Rhinolophus ferrumequinum: one gene and its partner. The protein of the gene in region 1 interacts with the protein of each later gene in a biochemical or structural test. Links are inferred from orthologs where the notes say so. Each region holds a gene or a part of one and is shown on either strand. Other genes may lie near its edges.

The links.
Region 2: of the proteins of ARIH2 (region 1) and CKB, one has a biochemical effect on the other in vitro, tested with the Homo sapiens proteins (2 studies listed by BioGRID). The link is inferred for Rhinolophus ferrumequinum from reciprocal best matches to the Homo sapiens genes ARIH2 and CKB.

Annotation. Positions count from the first base shown.
Region 1 is NC_046300.1:7,301,910-7,310,013, reverse strand, and holds the start of ARIH2 (E3 ubiquitin-protein ligase ARIH2), read left to right. Parts: upstream 1-4,865; 5' UTR 4,866-6,552; intron 6,553-6,672; exon of another isoform or gene 6,673-6,908; intron 6,909-8,104.
Region 2 is NC_046289.1:1,720,472-1,728,614, forward strand, and holds the start of CKB (creatine kinase B-type), read left to right. Parts: upstream 1-5,083; 5' UTR 5,084-5,258; intron 5,259-5,558; 5' UTR 5,559-5,584; coding exon 5,585-5,777; intron 5,778-5,935; coding exon 5,936-6,090; intron 6,091-6,176; coding exon 6,177-6,309; intron 6,310-6,637; coding exon 6,638-6,809; intron 6,810-7,502; coding exon 7,503-7,626; intron 7,627-7,857; coding exon 7,858-8,047; intron 8,048-8,127; coding exon 8,128-8,143. Other genes in the region: tRNA (adenine(58)-N(1))-methyltransferase catalytic subunit TRMT61A, read right to left, coding at 135-315, 3,660-3,709. UniProt on the Homo sapiens protein: Reversibly catalyzes the transfer of phosphate between ATP and various phosphogens (e.g. creatine phosphate).

The DNA of each region.
Region 1 (8,104 bases):
GCATTAGCAGAAAACCTATAGCAGATTTGAGACATACTGCAGTGCCCATGGCACATCTGGGGACATAGCTGGTTAGTGTCGGGTACACAGTTTGGGAACCAGGAGAGAGGTAAAGGCCAGAGACAGAAGTTGGGAAGATTTCATCATAAAGACATATATGTAACCCCGGGAAGACTGTATCATGGGAGAGGGGCCGCATGAAAGGAGGAGCCCCCAAAGCAGAGGTTGCTATTAGAATTTTGGAGAAAAACTAAGAGAAAATGGTGCCTTTGAGTCCAAGGGATGAAAGAGTCAAATGCTGGGTCAAGCTAAGGAATTTTAAGTGCTCATGAGGTTTAACTAATCATCACTGATGACATTTAGAAGACACTTGCCAGAAGTGTTGGCATGTGGTGGGTCTAATAATGAACAGGCAGCAAGAAGGCAGAGGCACTAAGAGTCAGTTACTGGTTCAAGGAGCTTGGTAGGGAGGGGAAAGGAACAAAGAGTTCAAGGAGGGTTTAGATTTCAGTGTTTGTTTAAGATGGGACTGAGATTGAGGGAAACATCAAGAAAGGACAGAAAGCACAGCTGATGAGGCCGGGTCCCTGAGGTGGTGGTGTGGCATCTGCTTTGTGTGGCCTCCCCTGGCAAGCTGCTTCTAAATGCCCTGGGATCTCCAGCGCTCTCACTCTGAATATCTGGAATTGAGTCCTGACACAAGTCTTTAAAACTCTGTGACTGAGTTTGAGAAGCACCCATTGTTAAGAATTTCCAAGATAGAAGTGTTCGAGTTTGGCAAAGAGATAGCCCACAAGTTGTAAAGTAAGGTTGCATAATACCTGAAACACAGGTATAAGATGATTGTTGTTAAACTGTTTATCTGGGTCCCTGTCCTCAAAGGGCTTCAGTCTGGCTGGGGAGAAGAATCTCAGACATTGGAACAAGAAGGAGCTGTTAGGAGGGAGCTCAGGTGCAAAGCAGGTTGTCAGTTCTGGTTGAAGCCTGACATTTCCTCCTGACTTCCTACCCCAGTGAATACTGTTGTCTTTGTTTCCCACAGATTATGGGGAATTTTCACCATGAGAGGGCAGTACTGTGTTAGTGTCCAGGGCACACATTTACTGAGCACTTCTGATTTGTAAAACTACTCATCGCTAGATTAACCTCAGGAGTTTTATTGGACAGAAGGCCCAAGAGTCACAATTTGGTAATGGGACCTTGTTTCTTTTATTTATATTTTGTAACACTCTGGCTGCAGAGGAGGAGCTAATTTAGAGTCAGTTTGCACTCAGAGCAATTTCAGGAAGAGATGGTATTTGATATAGATAGAACAGCCCTCCTGGTAAAAATCCAGTAAACCTACCCACCTCCATGACAGACCTCAATGTGGACTCAACTCAAGCCCACCAGTAAAACGTAATCAATAATCCACTATACAAATGGTCTTCCTGCTTCCTGATGTGGTTAGCCTTACACACCGCTAGAAAACTTACCTGAAATTTAATCTATGTCATTCCCTGGCCAAAAAAGCTCCTCAGTTCTTTATTGCATCAGAATAAACTACAAATAGCTCAGGGGCAATCGGAGCTTTTCATAGTTTCATGCTAGTTTACTTCTTCAACTTTGTTTTCCCCTAGACTATATCTTCATCTCTGAGCAAACTGAGCTTCTCCTGATTTACCATACAGATCTGCTACTTAACTGCCCCTTTTCACATATTTTCCTCTTTAGCACAGGTGTCTTTTCTCTCTCCACTCTGTAACATGTTGATACAAGAGGTGTATCTGAGTTGCTACCATATGCTAGACATCGTCCAACCAGTGGTTCTTAGCCATTTGTGGGGAGGAAAATCCCTGGCACCCTCTCCCCAGAAAAATGTACATATGCACATGTACCTCCAGGTTTGCTTTCAATTTCATGGGAACTTGAAGCTGTCCTTGGACTCCAGATGAGAAATCTTGTTCCTAGACCCTGGGAATCAAACATGAAAAAGGGGCTAATTTTCCCAATGTCTATCCTTCCTTTCTTCTCTTTCCTTCTTTCTTAGCTCAAATTCCACGTCTGGGCTGAAATCTCTCCAATTTCTGTGCCTCTCATGGGCTCCAATCCTGCCTCTCTAGCTGCCCAAAGAGATCTTGAACTCAGTACACCTGAAAGTAAGTGATATCCAGGAAAAAGGAACCAGATAACAGATCCATATATACACGGGAACTTAGATCATCATAAAGGCGCTTTTCTAAATAGTGGATAAAGAATGATCTATTCAATAAACGGTGTTGGGACAACTGACTCTCTACACATCCTACCAAACACAAATTCTGGATGGATTTAAGAGCTCAACCTAAAAAACAACAATATAAAATATAAGCATTTTGTACATGTCCTTCCAGGACCCTTTCTATGCATCTACATATGCATTTATATCTAATAGGTACACACACAAACACACATTTACACAAAACCTTTTTCATTAAAAAAAAGCTATTGTAAATATAATTCCGCTTTTTTACTCAGTGAAAGGTGCTATTATCCCCATTTCACAAATGAGAAATCTAAGTCATAGAGAGGTAAGTTTCCTTGCGCAAGGTCACTCTGCTAGGAAGTTGCCAAACTGGGATTCTCACCCTGGCTATCTGGCTCCAGACCCTACCTTTTGTAGGCCTCTAAGGCCAAAGCCTATGAGAGAGAGCTTTGGAGGGTTTTGAACAAGGAAATGACATGTTTTATGCTTTAAAAAGATCTCTTTAAACAACGGAGAGAACAGATTTAGTAGAGCAAGGGTGGGTAGATGCACGGAAACTACCTTAGTTAAGCGACCTGCTCACATCCAGGGACATATTGTGATGGCTTGCTCTGGAGCACCAGGTGGTGGGAAGTGCCTAATCAGGACATATTGTGGAGGTATGGCACGTAGGAATTGCTTATGGATTGAATGTGGAATTTGAAAGGGAAAGAAGAGTCATGGGAGACTGGTGAATTTTTGGTCTGAGTAAATAGTGAGAGATAATGACATCACTGAGCTCAGAAACACTGGGCGGGGGGTGCGGGGAAATGCCAAGTTTGGAGATAAAATTGAGTTTTGTTTGGGACATGTTAAATCTGAGTGCTAACATGACATCCCAGTAGGGGTGTTGAATGGACAGTTGAATGTATTGAGTGTGGAGTTCAGGGGATTAGGTAGGCCTAGAAATAAAAGCCTAGAAGTCATCAGTGTATTGGAGGTACATACTTAATTAGGCAAAGAGCTTGGATAAGGTCATTAGAGAGTGAGGGTAGATGGAGCAGAAGCTGAAGATGGAGCCCACCGACTCTCCTGTGCAGTACTCCTCACAGCAATTTCATACTTACTTAAATATTCCTCTAATTTCTGAATCCGCTACTAGGCCAAAGCTCTTTGACTGCAGGGACCATGGTCTCCTGCCCTCTCCATTAAATCTAACAACATGGTACCTGGCCTATAGCTGGGCTCAAAGAATCAAAGGCATTTTTCAAAGGTGATTTGGCTGTATCTATCACAATGTAAACTGAGCATAGAAGTTTACTCACTAATTCCATTTCATTTTCCAAAAATTCCGAACCATTTTCACATCTATGCAAACAGTAGTACATCCAAGGGTGTTCATTGCAGCACCAGTTGTCATTTCACCTGAGTGAAAAATCAGAAACAGATGACCTGCAAAAGGAGCGTGGTAAGATGACAGTATAATCACACTAGGAAATATTGAAGATGTGGTAGGCTCAGGAGCCAGACGGCCAGGGTTAGAAGCTTAGCTTGGCCACTTCCTAACTTTAGAGCAATTACCACACCTTCCTGTGTCTTAGTTTGCTAATTTGTAAATTGGGAATAATAATAGGACCTTCTACTAAATGAAGAAAGCAGGATGATATTTATAACAGCCTGTTAAATTTTTTAGAACTTTGTATAAATATATGTGTATATGTGTATAAATACAGATATGTATGTAGATGCACAGAAAAGGGTCCTGGAAAGATGTGCACCAAACTCTGGAAAATGGCAGCAATCCTGGATAGGGTAGAGAGTTGGAGTGAGTTAATGGGAATATTCACATGTTGCTATCAACACTGTTGTATAAATTTTTCACAACTTTAATGTATCAATATATTATCGTGTAATTAAAATCAATAAAGGCAAAGATGAAAGACATATGTATGATATATATGTAACATATGCTACGTGACAGATTACATTTTCCAAAGATGGCCACACCAACATGTATCCCATTCCATATGTTCTTCTTACAGTGTGATATCGTGTTGGTATTCCTCCATCAGGGGTAGGGTTTCATTTCCTCTCCTTGAACCTGAGAGGACCTTTGCTTGGACCAATAAGATGTGGTAGAAATAATGCTGTGTGACTTCAAAGGCTAAGTCATAAAAGGAGATATGGCTTCCACTTGGTTCTAAGGCACTTATCCTTGGAACCCAGCCACCATATTTCCAGAAAAACAAGGTCACATGGAGAGGTTGTGTATACGTGTTCTGACTGACAGTCCCAGCAAGGCCACTACCAGATGCACGAGTAAATAACTATTCCTGTAATTTTAGCTCTCAGAGTTTGAATCTTCTAGCTGAGGCCCCAGACACTGAGGAGCTGAAATAAACCATTCCCCCAGATTCCTGTAAACTGTCCAGATTCCTGTCCCACAGAAACCATGAGAGTTTAGATATATTTTACACACATATATATTTTGAAAATGGAATAGCACATTGTTTCACATCCTAGTCTTATCACTGAAGAATGTATCATAAGTACCTTTCCTTGTCAAGAGGGGCCTTTGTATAGCATGATTGTTGATGGCTTTCTTTATTGTATATTTTACCATAATTTAACAAACCCTTACTTTTGGACGCTTGGGATGCTGCAAACTTTTTCCTGTTAGAATCATCATTCCAAAGCACATAAATGCGCACAAATTTTTATGTGTATCCTTAAATGTTTTGGCTTAATTTTTAAATTTACTTCCTGGGGAGAGATTGCCACTAGTTAAAAATATTATCATCAACCCAATAAATGTTTATTTAATGGAGTAATACTGAAAACAAGGTTGGATCTGTGCCCTTAAGAAACTCACCTTCACCAGGGGAAAGACACATGAACAAATAAAGAGGATTCCAATATATTGTACATGCACCAGTATGCTTGTGACCTCATTCTCTATTTAGCAAGTGCAATAATGCTACAGAAAGACTGATTGTTCCCCTTATTCACTGGAATTTATTACCAGCAACCCAAAGTGAGAGCTTCTAATTGACATTTCATTTGCAGAAAATATAATTTGGACCCTTTGCTAGTATAATTTAAAGGGATATGTTTTCTCAAAACAAATGTATTAAGGTACACTGGATGATAGACTTTTATGTTGCTAAATACCAAATTCATAATCCTACAATATATTACTCATTGCTATTAATTTTCACTCCAAATTAATTTGGGGCTTTCCAGTATGTGTTTGACTGCATCTGATCTTGGTCCATGTTCTGTGTTAAAACTGGAAGCTGAAACCCGTATGTAAGAAATACATGAGTGCATACAAGAAGCAAGCACTAAATTAGAGAGCCCGTTACACATCATTTGTCTCGAATATCAGTACATACACGACTGGTGTACGGGTGGAAATCGTTTGGATTATCTACGGACTTGCACATCCCAATACAATGCCTAACATCACCAGCTTCACACTGGCGTTTGCACTCGTGCAGCAGCAACCTGAGTGAGCCTCCGTGGCTCGCTCCATCCATAACACTTGACAACAGGTCCTAGTAGGTACTAGAAGTCATAACTGGCACTTCTTATACTGTTTGAAGAAACTGGGCAGCAAGGCAATTAAGAGTCAGCCTTGTACAGTCACTGGAAAGCCGAAGAACTGGGCGGCGAATCCAGTTGAGGAAACGGGAGTGAAAACCCGGCGAGGTCCTGCGGCTCGGGGGCCAACAGGCCACAACCTGAGCGTAGGCGGAATTCCGGCCCGGCGCGCTGACCCGAAGGCCCTGTTCTCCTTCGTCCAGCGAGCCGAAGGGAAACAACAGTCCTTTACCAACTCCACCGACGTCAGGATGTCTTCCCGGTACCCGACACTCGAGTTTACAAACAGTGAAGTAAGGAGTCCATCAGAAAAACGCGGGTTAAAAATATCCTGGCGGGCAGCGCTGGGAGGCGAAAGCCAGAAGCGATGCCGTGACTGCGCTCCAGTAAGCCGAGCCCTCTCGTCTGCTGCCTCTCGCAGCCCTCCGCGCCGGCCGTGCCCTGGTCAGACCCCGGGATCCAGCGCCGGGATACCACAGAGCGCCAGCAGAGGGGTACTATTACCCAGCGCACGCCTCGACCCCTGCGACCGCGGGTCGACCCCGGCCCGGAAGTGACGCAACCACGCCGAGCACTTCCGGAGCGGCGGAGACGGCTCCGCTGGAGGAAGCGACGCGGGCCTTGACCGGCGTCGGCTTGCCGCGTCCGCCGCCGCCGCCGCCGCCGCGCTTGTGTCCGATCCCTCTGGCCCCGCCCAACCCGGTCTGGCCCGTCCGGGCTCAGCGGCCGCGGGGTCGCGCCTTCCGGTAAGTGTGAAGCGCGAATCGTGGCCTTGTTTACCCGGCGGGTCGGGGGAGGGGGTGGGCTTTCCGTGCGCCTCCCTAGCCCGACTGGGGCTCCGCCTTCGTCGCCGCCTGCGAGGCCCCGGCGTCCGCGGTCGCCGGTACAGTCTCAGCGCCCCCCGCCGTCCGCGGACGGACGGCTGAAAGCTACGGCCGGGGCGGCCGAGCGCCTGGCGTCTCCGTTATTCCTTCTTCCGCCGCCTTCTCAGCTCGCGGAGAGGTCGGAGGCCGTCGCCTCTGACCGACTGGCGCCGGCCTATCTGGGCCCTCCCCACCGGGCGCGCCGGGGAAACGCGCCACCTCCGGGGCTCCCCGCTCAGGTCATTATGGAGAGCTCTCCCAGGGCCGCCCGCGCGATTAGTTAACGCCCGCTTCTGAAGGGTCCCCCAGCGCGTGAGTTCCGTGTCCTCGCGGATGTCCCGGCGCCTCGGCAGGGACCAGTGGCCCAGGAGCTGCGCCGCGGTGGTAGCCGCCGGAGAGGCAGCCGCCTTCACGGATGACTTCACCTCCGTACGGGTTGTTGCTCTGTCCCGTAGAACTTTGTCACAGTGGACATATTCTATGACTTTGCCACACGTAACCATTGTGGCTAGTGTGACTGAAAAACCAAACTTTAAATTGTATTTAAGTTTTAACTTAACCACTTGTAGCTAGTGGCTACCCTGTTTGACAGTGCGGGCATTAGGGTAGGGTGTTGAAACCAAGTTGCTGGTTCATATTTTTGTACCAAGTAGTTCTCTTTGGAAATGTCGGCTTAGTAAAGGACCATTCGGTGCTAAATACTATATATGAAGTAAACACCGTCAGATTCACACAAAAAAGTCCGTTTTATTCTTGTCAACTTGAAAACTGAGTCGTCTTCAGCTTAGCTCCCTTAGTCCAGGGTGGGTGTCAGGTCTTCTGAACACATAACTTTGTGGGGAAAAGTAATTTCTTTTACTCCCTTTCGGACTGGGATGTAGGGATAATATTTAACATCTAAGAAATTAAAAGCATTGTCATCATTTCTGCTAATAAGGCAATAACATACTGTCCCCTTTGAGCTATGTCAGCGCTAGGAATATTTAACTTTGGCAAGATTGAAAATTAAGTGTTTATTTAAATCTGGACCTAGAATACCCAGTAAGCACGAATGGCCTTCTCTTTTTTCAGGTTCCCCTTTAGGAGAGGAGCCTTGATTCTTGAATATTTAGTTGGTGAGGAGTCTGGGCAGCCTCTAAACCCAAATCCTGGGGAGAAGTCCAAAGAAAGTGAAAACATGCTCTTTTGCTGTGATTCTGGAGGTAGCTTTGTGGATAGCATTAGGCTCTCTGGAAGGGTAATAGGGAATTATGAATCACCGTAGGTCATGGAGCTGGTGGAATTATGACACTGTGGGCTCTTCTGTTTGCCAGCAGTGTGGTCCTGGGGAAGTTACTTAATCTTTGTGAACTCGAGCTTCCTCATTTGTAAGAACAGGATGATAGCCACTTTGTGGGGTTCTGAAGATTTAGTAAGAGTGAATCTGACCTGCAAT
Region 2 (8,143 bases), on another chromosome or scaffold:
TGGGCAGAACGGGAAGGGCGGGCCGGCACGGCTGGCACCTGGCTGGGGGCGGCCCACGGAGGCTGGAGGGACGCGCAGGGCCCGCCAGGGAGACCCCCGCCCGCGCACTGTCACGTGGCCCCGCAGAGTCTCACCAGCGACACTGTGTCGACTCCTGCGGCGGGAGGCTCCGCACGTGGCACCGCGACAGCGGCCACACCACTTCCGGCTCCTCGGGCCCGGCGCCCGCCGATGACGTCACGGCGCCCTGCGGTCGCTCGCGGGATCGCGGGGCGCGCCTCCGGGTCAGCTTCCTCCCGGATGCGCGTTCCTGTGCTTGCACACGCCCGTGCAAAGACAAGCTGAAAGTCCCACCGCCCCAGAAGTAGGCCGCGCGGGCTGCGACCAGGGCAGGGCCGCGACAGCCCTGGAGTCCCAGGACCGCCCGCCCACGGCTAGCTGCCCAGTCCCGTGAGGACACTTTGCTGTGGGCACTTTGTCACTGCAAATCGCTCTGGGAACACCCCTGACTGGGCCCCAGGGTGCATTCCAGAAAATGGAATCACATATCAGAGGGTTTAACTGGGATCAGCCAAGGTGCAGGAGATGGGGGTCTGGCAGGGTCTGCAGAAGTGGCCTTCCGCCCTGGCCCTGACTCTCCCTGGTCTGCCTCCCCCGCAGGGGCACATTCTCTGCAGTGCAGAAGCCACTTACACGAGGGAGGGGGTCCTGTGTCCCAGGACCCAGGGTGCAATGAGAGCTGGATGAAATGGGCTGAGCGGGGGACTGGAGACGGCAGAAAAGGGAAGCAGCAGCTCTGTTATTGCTCAGCAGGGCTGATTCAGAGCAGGTTCCTCTGTGGGGAGTGTAGAGAGGGAGTGGGGGCAGGGGCCGGACTGTCTGCCTCCAGCACTCCGCTCCCTGCAAGGCGGGCTTAGCTTTTGGGCCTGGAGCGTGATAGATGTGCCCAGCCCACTCAGCTCCCCTGTAGCCTGGGCCCTAACCCAGGGCCTGGCAGCAGTAACCCCACTAGGACACCTCTCAGGCCCGGGCTGCTCCAGCCTGCTCAAACGGGAGTGGCTAGGCCCCTGCAGAGCCAGCCCCTTCCCCAGCGCTGCCAGCCTGTGAGGCTCTCTGAACTCTTCCAGGATGGACCAGGGTGTCTGTAACCCTTGTCATGGGCCCCTCTGGGTCCATGGCGGAAACCCGGGTGCCTGGCTTCAGCCCTTCCATGCCCCTGCCCTGGCTGGGCTTGGGTCTGGGAGCTCCGGGGATAAGAAGGTGAGGGACTGTTGGTGGCTTCCCACTCTCTGGGTTCATGTCCCTGTGTGGCTGCATCATGGCTTCCCTGCCTCCTGCTCTAACACTGAGACAACCCAGCCCCACCCATGGCTCACCAGCCTCTCTTCCCAGTGACTCTGCTTCACCCCCTTGGTGATGCACCGCCTGAATCACTCCCTAATTGCTCCCCTGAGATCTCAATTTTCCACTTCTCCTGGGGGTTCCTCTTTCCCCAGCCACTCAGCTGGGGTGTGGAGCTGAGGCTGGACGCCTACTAAGCCTAAATTAAGACTCGGTGACTTGGTGGTGGTTTCCTGTGGTCCTGACTTCCCACTTTCTTCTTTGTCCGTGACTGGCTGACCAGCTCCTCCAAGTGCCCCTCCTCCACAGCCTCCCAGAGCTGTCCTTCTGTTCCATCGGAGCCCGCCCCAGCCCTTGGTCTGAGTCCTCAAGCACTGGACTCCTCCAGGCCCCGGGCAGAGTCTGTATACTGGGACTCCTCCAATGAGAATTGATGCTTTGTAAGCCCAGCTAAGTGTCACTGCATTGAATCCTCCCCACAATCCTGTGAGGGGGGGACCACTTCACAGATGGGGAAACTAAGACTCAGGGAGGTTAAGTAACTTGTCTAAGGTCACACAGCCAATGAGACCAAAGTGGCACTGGGATGTAAAGCCAGTAAAGCTAGCTGCAGAGAAACAATGGAAGGTTTGAAAGAGGGGGGAACAGGCAGGAAGGAGACCCTGGAGGAAATGGAGAAGCTAAGGATGCCCACCGGGGAGGCTTCGCCCACATCCCTAGCAGGGATCAGGTGACCGAGGTCCCCTCCTCTCTGCCCAGCCCATGCTCTGAGACCCCAAGGAAGCCCTGCCCCTCTGCTCTTCCCAGCTAACTTCCCCTCTGGATTCTGCAGAGCTTAGGACCAGGGCACCAGGAGGAACAATGCCTACCTGGCTGCACTCAGACAGACGATGATGATGACTAAGGTCTCCAGTGCCCTGCCCAGAGGCTGGCCCTGCCCGGAGCCTGGCCCACCTCTGCCTGCCCTGCACCCCCGGCTGACGGGGGTAAGGGGTGGTGATCTGTGGATGAAAGGCCAGCCACTCCTTTGAGGCTCTTGAGAGGCCAGGTGGTTAATGTATAACCAATTATGATACATTACGTCTGAGGAACCTGGACCATAAACTGGCCAGGTGATGTCACCCAGCTTTTGCCTGGATGCCACCAGACCGACTTCGGTGTGCCCGGAGGAAAGTGGAGGGTCCACAGATGAGAGCCAGGTCAGCCAGGGGCAGTTCTGGCTGTGGTGGAGGCTGACCCCTTCCAGCCCCCAACCCTTGCTGCCCTGCTCTGGGACCAACCAGTCTCCCAAGCAGCCCCTGCCTTGTTGGGGGCCGCACCTTGTCATTTGGGTCCGAAGACCTCGGTCGCCCTCCCCTTCCCCCATCACAGCTGCTGAACACCCTGCACTGTCAGTCTGAGCCCCGCCCAGGTTTGGCCTGCCTGGGGTCCCCAGGGTGGTCCTTGGGTGACGTTAGCACAGGGCCAGTCATTCTGGAATCATTGAGTGATTGCGGTGCCTCTGACCTGACCCCTCTGTCACCCACCTTCTGATTGTCCCTTTGCTTATCTGAAAAATGGGGACAAAACACCCATCTCAGAAGGCTGAGGGTTGCAGGAGCCCTCGGCAGGAGTATCCCCAGGGCCTGACCCTAGGCAAGGCCGCCGCAAGCCAGTGGACCTCCTCTCCAGTGTGGACCTCGCCTGTAGAGGGAGCGGGGAATGGGAGTCCTTCTTCCACCCCACAAAGTGCTCGGGTCCTTGGCCAGCCTGAGGGTCGGGGAAGGTGGATGGCGTTCTGAGAAATTGCAGAGGCTGAAGACAAAGAAGAAGCCCTGAGTGCACCCCCTCTTCAGGGTCTGAAAGCTAAGTCTGAAAGCCAAGTCAGCCTCCAGCAGCAGCAGCAGCAGCTCTGGTTTCTAGAAACAGAAACTTGAGCCCATCAGGCCTTCGGGAGTGGGGAAGTGGGGAGGGTAGCTGCAGATATTTGTAAAATTGGGGGAAGGGGCTGCAAAGGGACACAAGAGTGCAGGAATTCCAGGCTTAAGGGACACCTGCTGTCTGGCCAGCCAGACCATTGGCCTTTTTACAATGGTTTGTTTTGTGGGTCTAAAAAAAAAACACACCACAAAACTCAAAATGCTGACTGGGAATAGGTCAAAGCATGCCAAGGTGAGCTGGGGAAGAGGCAGGCGTCCCTTCTGGTCACCACAAGGACAGCCAGGGACAGCTGGGGAGATTCCACACCCTTTGATGAGCACACAGGCAGTGCCGGTCCTCTGGGTCACTGAATGTGCCGGTCCTCTGGGTCTCTGCTTCAGCGCCCACTCCCTACCTACCTTGGAATTCCTGGCTCTGCCCTGCCCCAGCCGCGCCCATCTCCTCCCATCTCCTGCTGCTGTTCTGTGCACTTGGCTGCTGTCTCAGGGCCAGTCTTCCCTCAGCAGCAGCCTACGTTCACCTTGCTTCCGACAGAGCTCACCATGCAGGCCTGGGAAGATTTTGTGAAATATACACATAGATAAGGGCTTCCCCTTTTCTGGCTTTACTCACGAAGCAACACATGATGGGTATTAGCTACAGAATCTCCAATGCACTCTTTTTAATAGCTGTATACTTTTCCACACGGCAGACATGCCTCCCTACCCGTTGGCTAGTCCCCAAATGATGGGTGAGTTATATCCAGGTTGGTTTGTGTTTGTTTTTCCCACCACACAACTTTTGGCCTATCTGCAAAGAGAAATGACTGTCCTTTCTATCGGCTGGATTCCTAGAAGTGGGATTGCTGGGTCAAGGAGTGTGAACATTTTTAATTTTAATAAATCCTGCCAGATTACTTCCCAAAAAGGATGTAGCAATTCACAGTTGCAGGCAGTGTGTGGACGCCTGTCTCCCCACATTCCAACCCATAGCCAACACTGGCTGCTGTCAATCTTACATTTTTGTCAATCTGAGTGTGTTGGGGGTAATAGAATGTGGAGACATTGTTTTAATTTGCCTGATTCTGATTTATAGTGAGTTCTTTTTTTTTTTAATCTCACATATGTTTGTGTTTCATCTTTGCCAGTCTCTGGGGACTGCCTTTGGGGGTGGGGTGGTGAGACTGAACCTGTCCCCAGCAGAGAGGGCCTAGGGCTGGGGTCTGGAGACTGTGAGCCTGTGTACTCCCCAGCGGCCGCTCAGGGTTACAGTGTTCCTGCATCTACCAGGAGGGGCAGGGCCCGGGGTCCCTGGCTCAGATCCCCCAGAGCCTGGGTACTTGCCCAAGGTCAAAGCACCGCAGGTGCCACCGGGCTGGGCCGGAGCCAGACTGCGCCTCCGGTGCGCCTTCGCCTTCGCTCTGCACCAAGATCTCCCGGGAGATGCAAGCGGGCACCTTGAGAAAGGTCGGCGGCTCAGAACCAGCTCAGACCGGGCGGGGCGGGGCGGGGCGGGGGCAGTACCTGCTGCAGAAGCCCGAGCCTCTCTCGCCCGGCCTCTCGCTGCCGCTGCCGCCGCCGCCGCCATCGCGGGGACTGGCAGAGGAAGGCAGAGGTGGGATGCAGACGAGCCCGAGCGTCCTCAAGTGCCGGGTGGCTCTCCTGCCTCAGTTTCCCGCGGGGTGGGGGGCGACTCCAGGACGTCCAAGGGTCTGAGGTTCCGGCTTCGGGGTCCTGGGCAGGCGCCGGGCAGGGCGGGCGGGTTGTGCCGGGGTCCCAGCGAGGAGACACACAGGGTGGGCGGCCTTGGGGGGTGGTCTGGGGCTGCGGGCGGAGGACAAAGCAGCGGCACCACCCCGCGGTGCAGGCCAATGGAATGAATGGGCTATAAATAGCGGCCAATGGGCGGCCCGCCCTGCACCCCTTAAGAGCCACGGGAGAGGCGAGCGGCCGCTGTTTGCCAGCGCCGCGCCCGGAGTTGCTTAAGGACCGAGCGCTCCCCCTACGCCCGGACGCCTGGTGAGTGGGCCCGAGGGCTGGGGATGGCCGCGCTGGGCGCCGGGGCAGCAGCGATGCACACAGAGGGACCCCGGGGCATCTTGCGCTCCGGACGCGCCCGGGCAGGCAGCCGCGAGTGCGCGCGCTGGCGGGTCCGCGGTCCTTGGTGGTGCCGGCGCCCTCTGCCTGCGCTGCGGACCCCGCTGACCTTGGCCACATCCCAGGTTGACTGGGGGCCAGGGCTGCGGGGTCCTGAGTGGTTTGTAGGTCCGGGGGAGGCCGGGTGCGCCGGGTCCCCGCTGATGCCGCGTCTCCCCACAGCCCACAGCCCGCCGCCCGCCGCCGCCATGCCCTTCTCCAACAGCCACAACACGCTGAAGCTGCGCTTCCCGGCGGAGGACGAGTTCCCCGACCTCAGCAGCCACAACAACCACATGGCCAAAGTGCTGACCCCCGAGATGTACGCTGAGCTGCGCGCCAAGAGCACGCCGAGCGGCTTCACGCTGGACGACATCATCCAGACCGGAGTGGACAACCCGGGTACGCGCACGCCCGTCCCGGGGTCAGGATACTCCCGGGGCTAAGGTCCAGCGCCCTCCAGAACCCCTCTCGGGCCAGAGTTCCCGCGCAGCCGCAGGGTCCTCGGCTGCTTGCTCAGGCCTGGCGGTGACGTCACTGTCCCCTTCCTCGCCCCCCAGGCCACCCGTACATCATGACCGTGGGCTGCGTGGCGGGCGACGAGGAATCGTACGAAGTGTTCAAGGAGCTCTTTGACCCCATCATCGAGGACCGTCACGGTGGCTACAAGCCGAGCGACGAGCACAAAACTGACCTCAACCCTGACAACCTGCAGGTGCGGGGTGGCCCGGGTGCGGGGCGGCCCGGGTGCGGGGCGGGCTACGAGTGGTATCCCGGCGCTCACCCCCGCTCGGCCTGCAGGGAGGAGACGATCTGGACCCCAACTACGTGCTGAGCTCGCGGGTGCGCACAGGCCGCAGCATCCGCGGCTTCTGCCTCCCCCCGCACTGCAGCCGCGGGGAGCGCCGCGCCATCGAGAAGCTCGCGGTGGAAGGTAGGGGTCTGCCCGCCCCGGCTCGGCCGCCTCCACGTCCCCGGCCCCGCCCCAGCTTGTTTACCAGTCACCCGAGCCACCGCCGAGTTCTTATCTGCGCGCGCGGTCCGGTTTCCCGAGAGACCGAGGCCCAGCCCCGCACCGACTGCGGCCGGGCTGCGGTCCGGTGAGGGCCGCCCGACTGAGTCACCTCCTCCGACCGCCGCCGGACCGCATGGACTGGGCTCCCACAGGGCTGGGCGCGCGTGGGGAGGTGGCGGCCCCGTGCTGCCCGGGTGGGGGTGGGGCCAGGGCCCGCGGCTTGTCCCCTGAGCGCGCCCCTCCGCAGCACTGTCGAGCCTGGATGGCGACCTGGCCGGCAGGTACTACGCGCTCAAGAGCATGACAGACGCGGAGCAGCAGCAGCTCATCGACGACCACTTCCTCTTCGACAAGCCCGTGTCGCCCCTGCTGCTGGCCTCGGGCATGGCCCGCGACTGGCCGGACGCCCGCGGCATCTGGTGCGTGACCACTCCCCTCCCCCTCCCGCGGCTCCCCCACCTCTTCCTCTACGTCCTGCCCTCGCCCAGGCTGGGAGGGGAGAGGGAGAGGCCGCGCTCCTGGGACGGGTTTGGTGCCGCCCAGGCCTCCTCTCAGGTGACGTTGACCGCGCAGGTGCGTGGAGGGACCCGGCTGATGGAGGCCTCAGCCTCCGGATCTTAGAGGTGGGGGACAGGTCGTGTTGGCGTCTCTCCTCCACCCCCTCTTGGGAGCTGGAGCTTCTTGTTTTCTTTCTCACCCGCCCGCTTCCCCCTTCCTCTGAGGATCTGCCAGGTGCTGGGTGACGCAGACGCTTCCCGGTGGAGGTTGGGGGAGGGCTTACAGCCTCCTGTCCCCACGGTCTGGGTAGGGCGGGCTTCAGCGCCCAGATACAGCGCTTTCCCCTGGGGGGGCTGTCCGGGCTCCCCCGCCCCTTACGTCCTAGGTTGGGACCTGGCCCCAGGGCTCGTGACTGGCAGGATGGGGACAGTTCAGGGCTTTTTGAACCCTTTCTGAGCTGTCCTGTGTGGCGGGAGCTGGGGTTCTGGGTATAGCTGGAAGGAGCACCTCAGGGATTTGTGAAGTTCCTCCCGTCTGGCGACCCCCTAGAGTTTTCCTGGATGTGCCCTGAGACCACAGTCCAGGGAGGAGCCTTGACTGTGGCCCTCCCCCAGGCACAATGACAATAAGACCTTCCTGGTGTGGATCAACGAGGAGGACCACCTTCGGGTCATCTCCATGCAGAAGGGGGGCAACATGAAGGAGGTGTTCACCCGCTTCTGCAATGGCCTCACTCAGGTCAGGCCTGCCGCTCCAATAGGGGCTGGCATGAGTGGGGGTTCAGTGCCAGGGAGGGGGCAGGGCCAGGCCCCAGAGCTCAGGCAGGGATGTGGGTGCCCTATCAGTCTCCCTGGGGAGTCTGGGTCTCAGTCACCTCAGGCTCCCGCCTGGGGCTTCTGGGTCCCAGCTGGTCCCTTGGGGGGAGGGGCATCTCACAGGCCTTCCCTCTCACACCTTCTCCACCTCCAGATTGAAACACTCTTCAAGTCTAAGAACTACGAGTTCATGTGGAACCCTCACCTGGGCTACATCCTCACCTGCCCGTCCAACCTGGGCACAGGGCTGCGGGCAGGTGTGCACATCAAGCTGCCCCACCTGGGCAAGCACGAGAAGTTCGCGGAGGTGCTCAAGCGGCTGCGCCTTCAGAAGCGAGGCACAGGTGAGTGGGGCAGGGGCTGCTGGCAGCTCTCTCTCCCCGGGGCTCCCACCCCAGCCCTGCTGACCCGGCTGCCTCCCCAGGTGGTGTGGACACGGC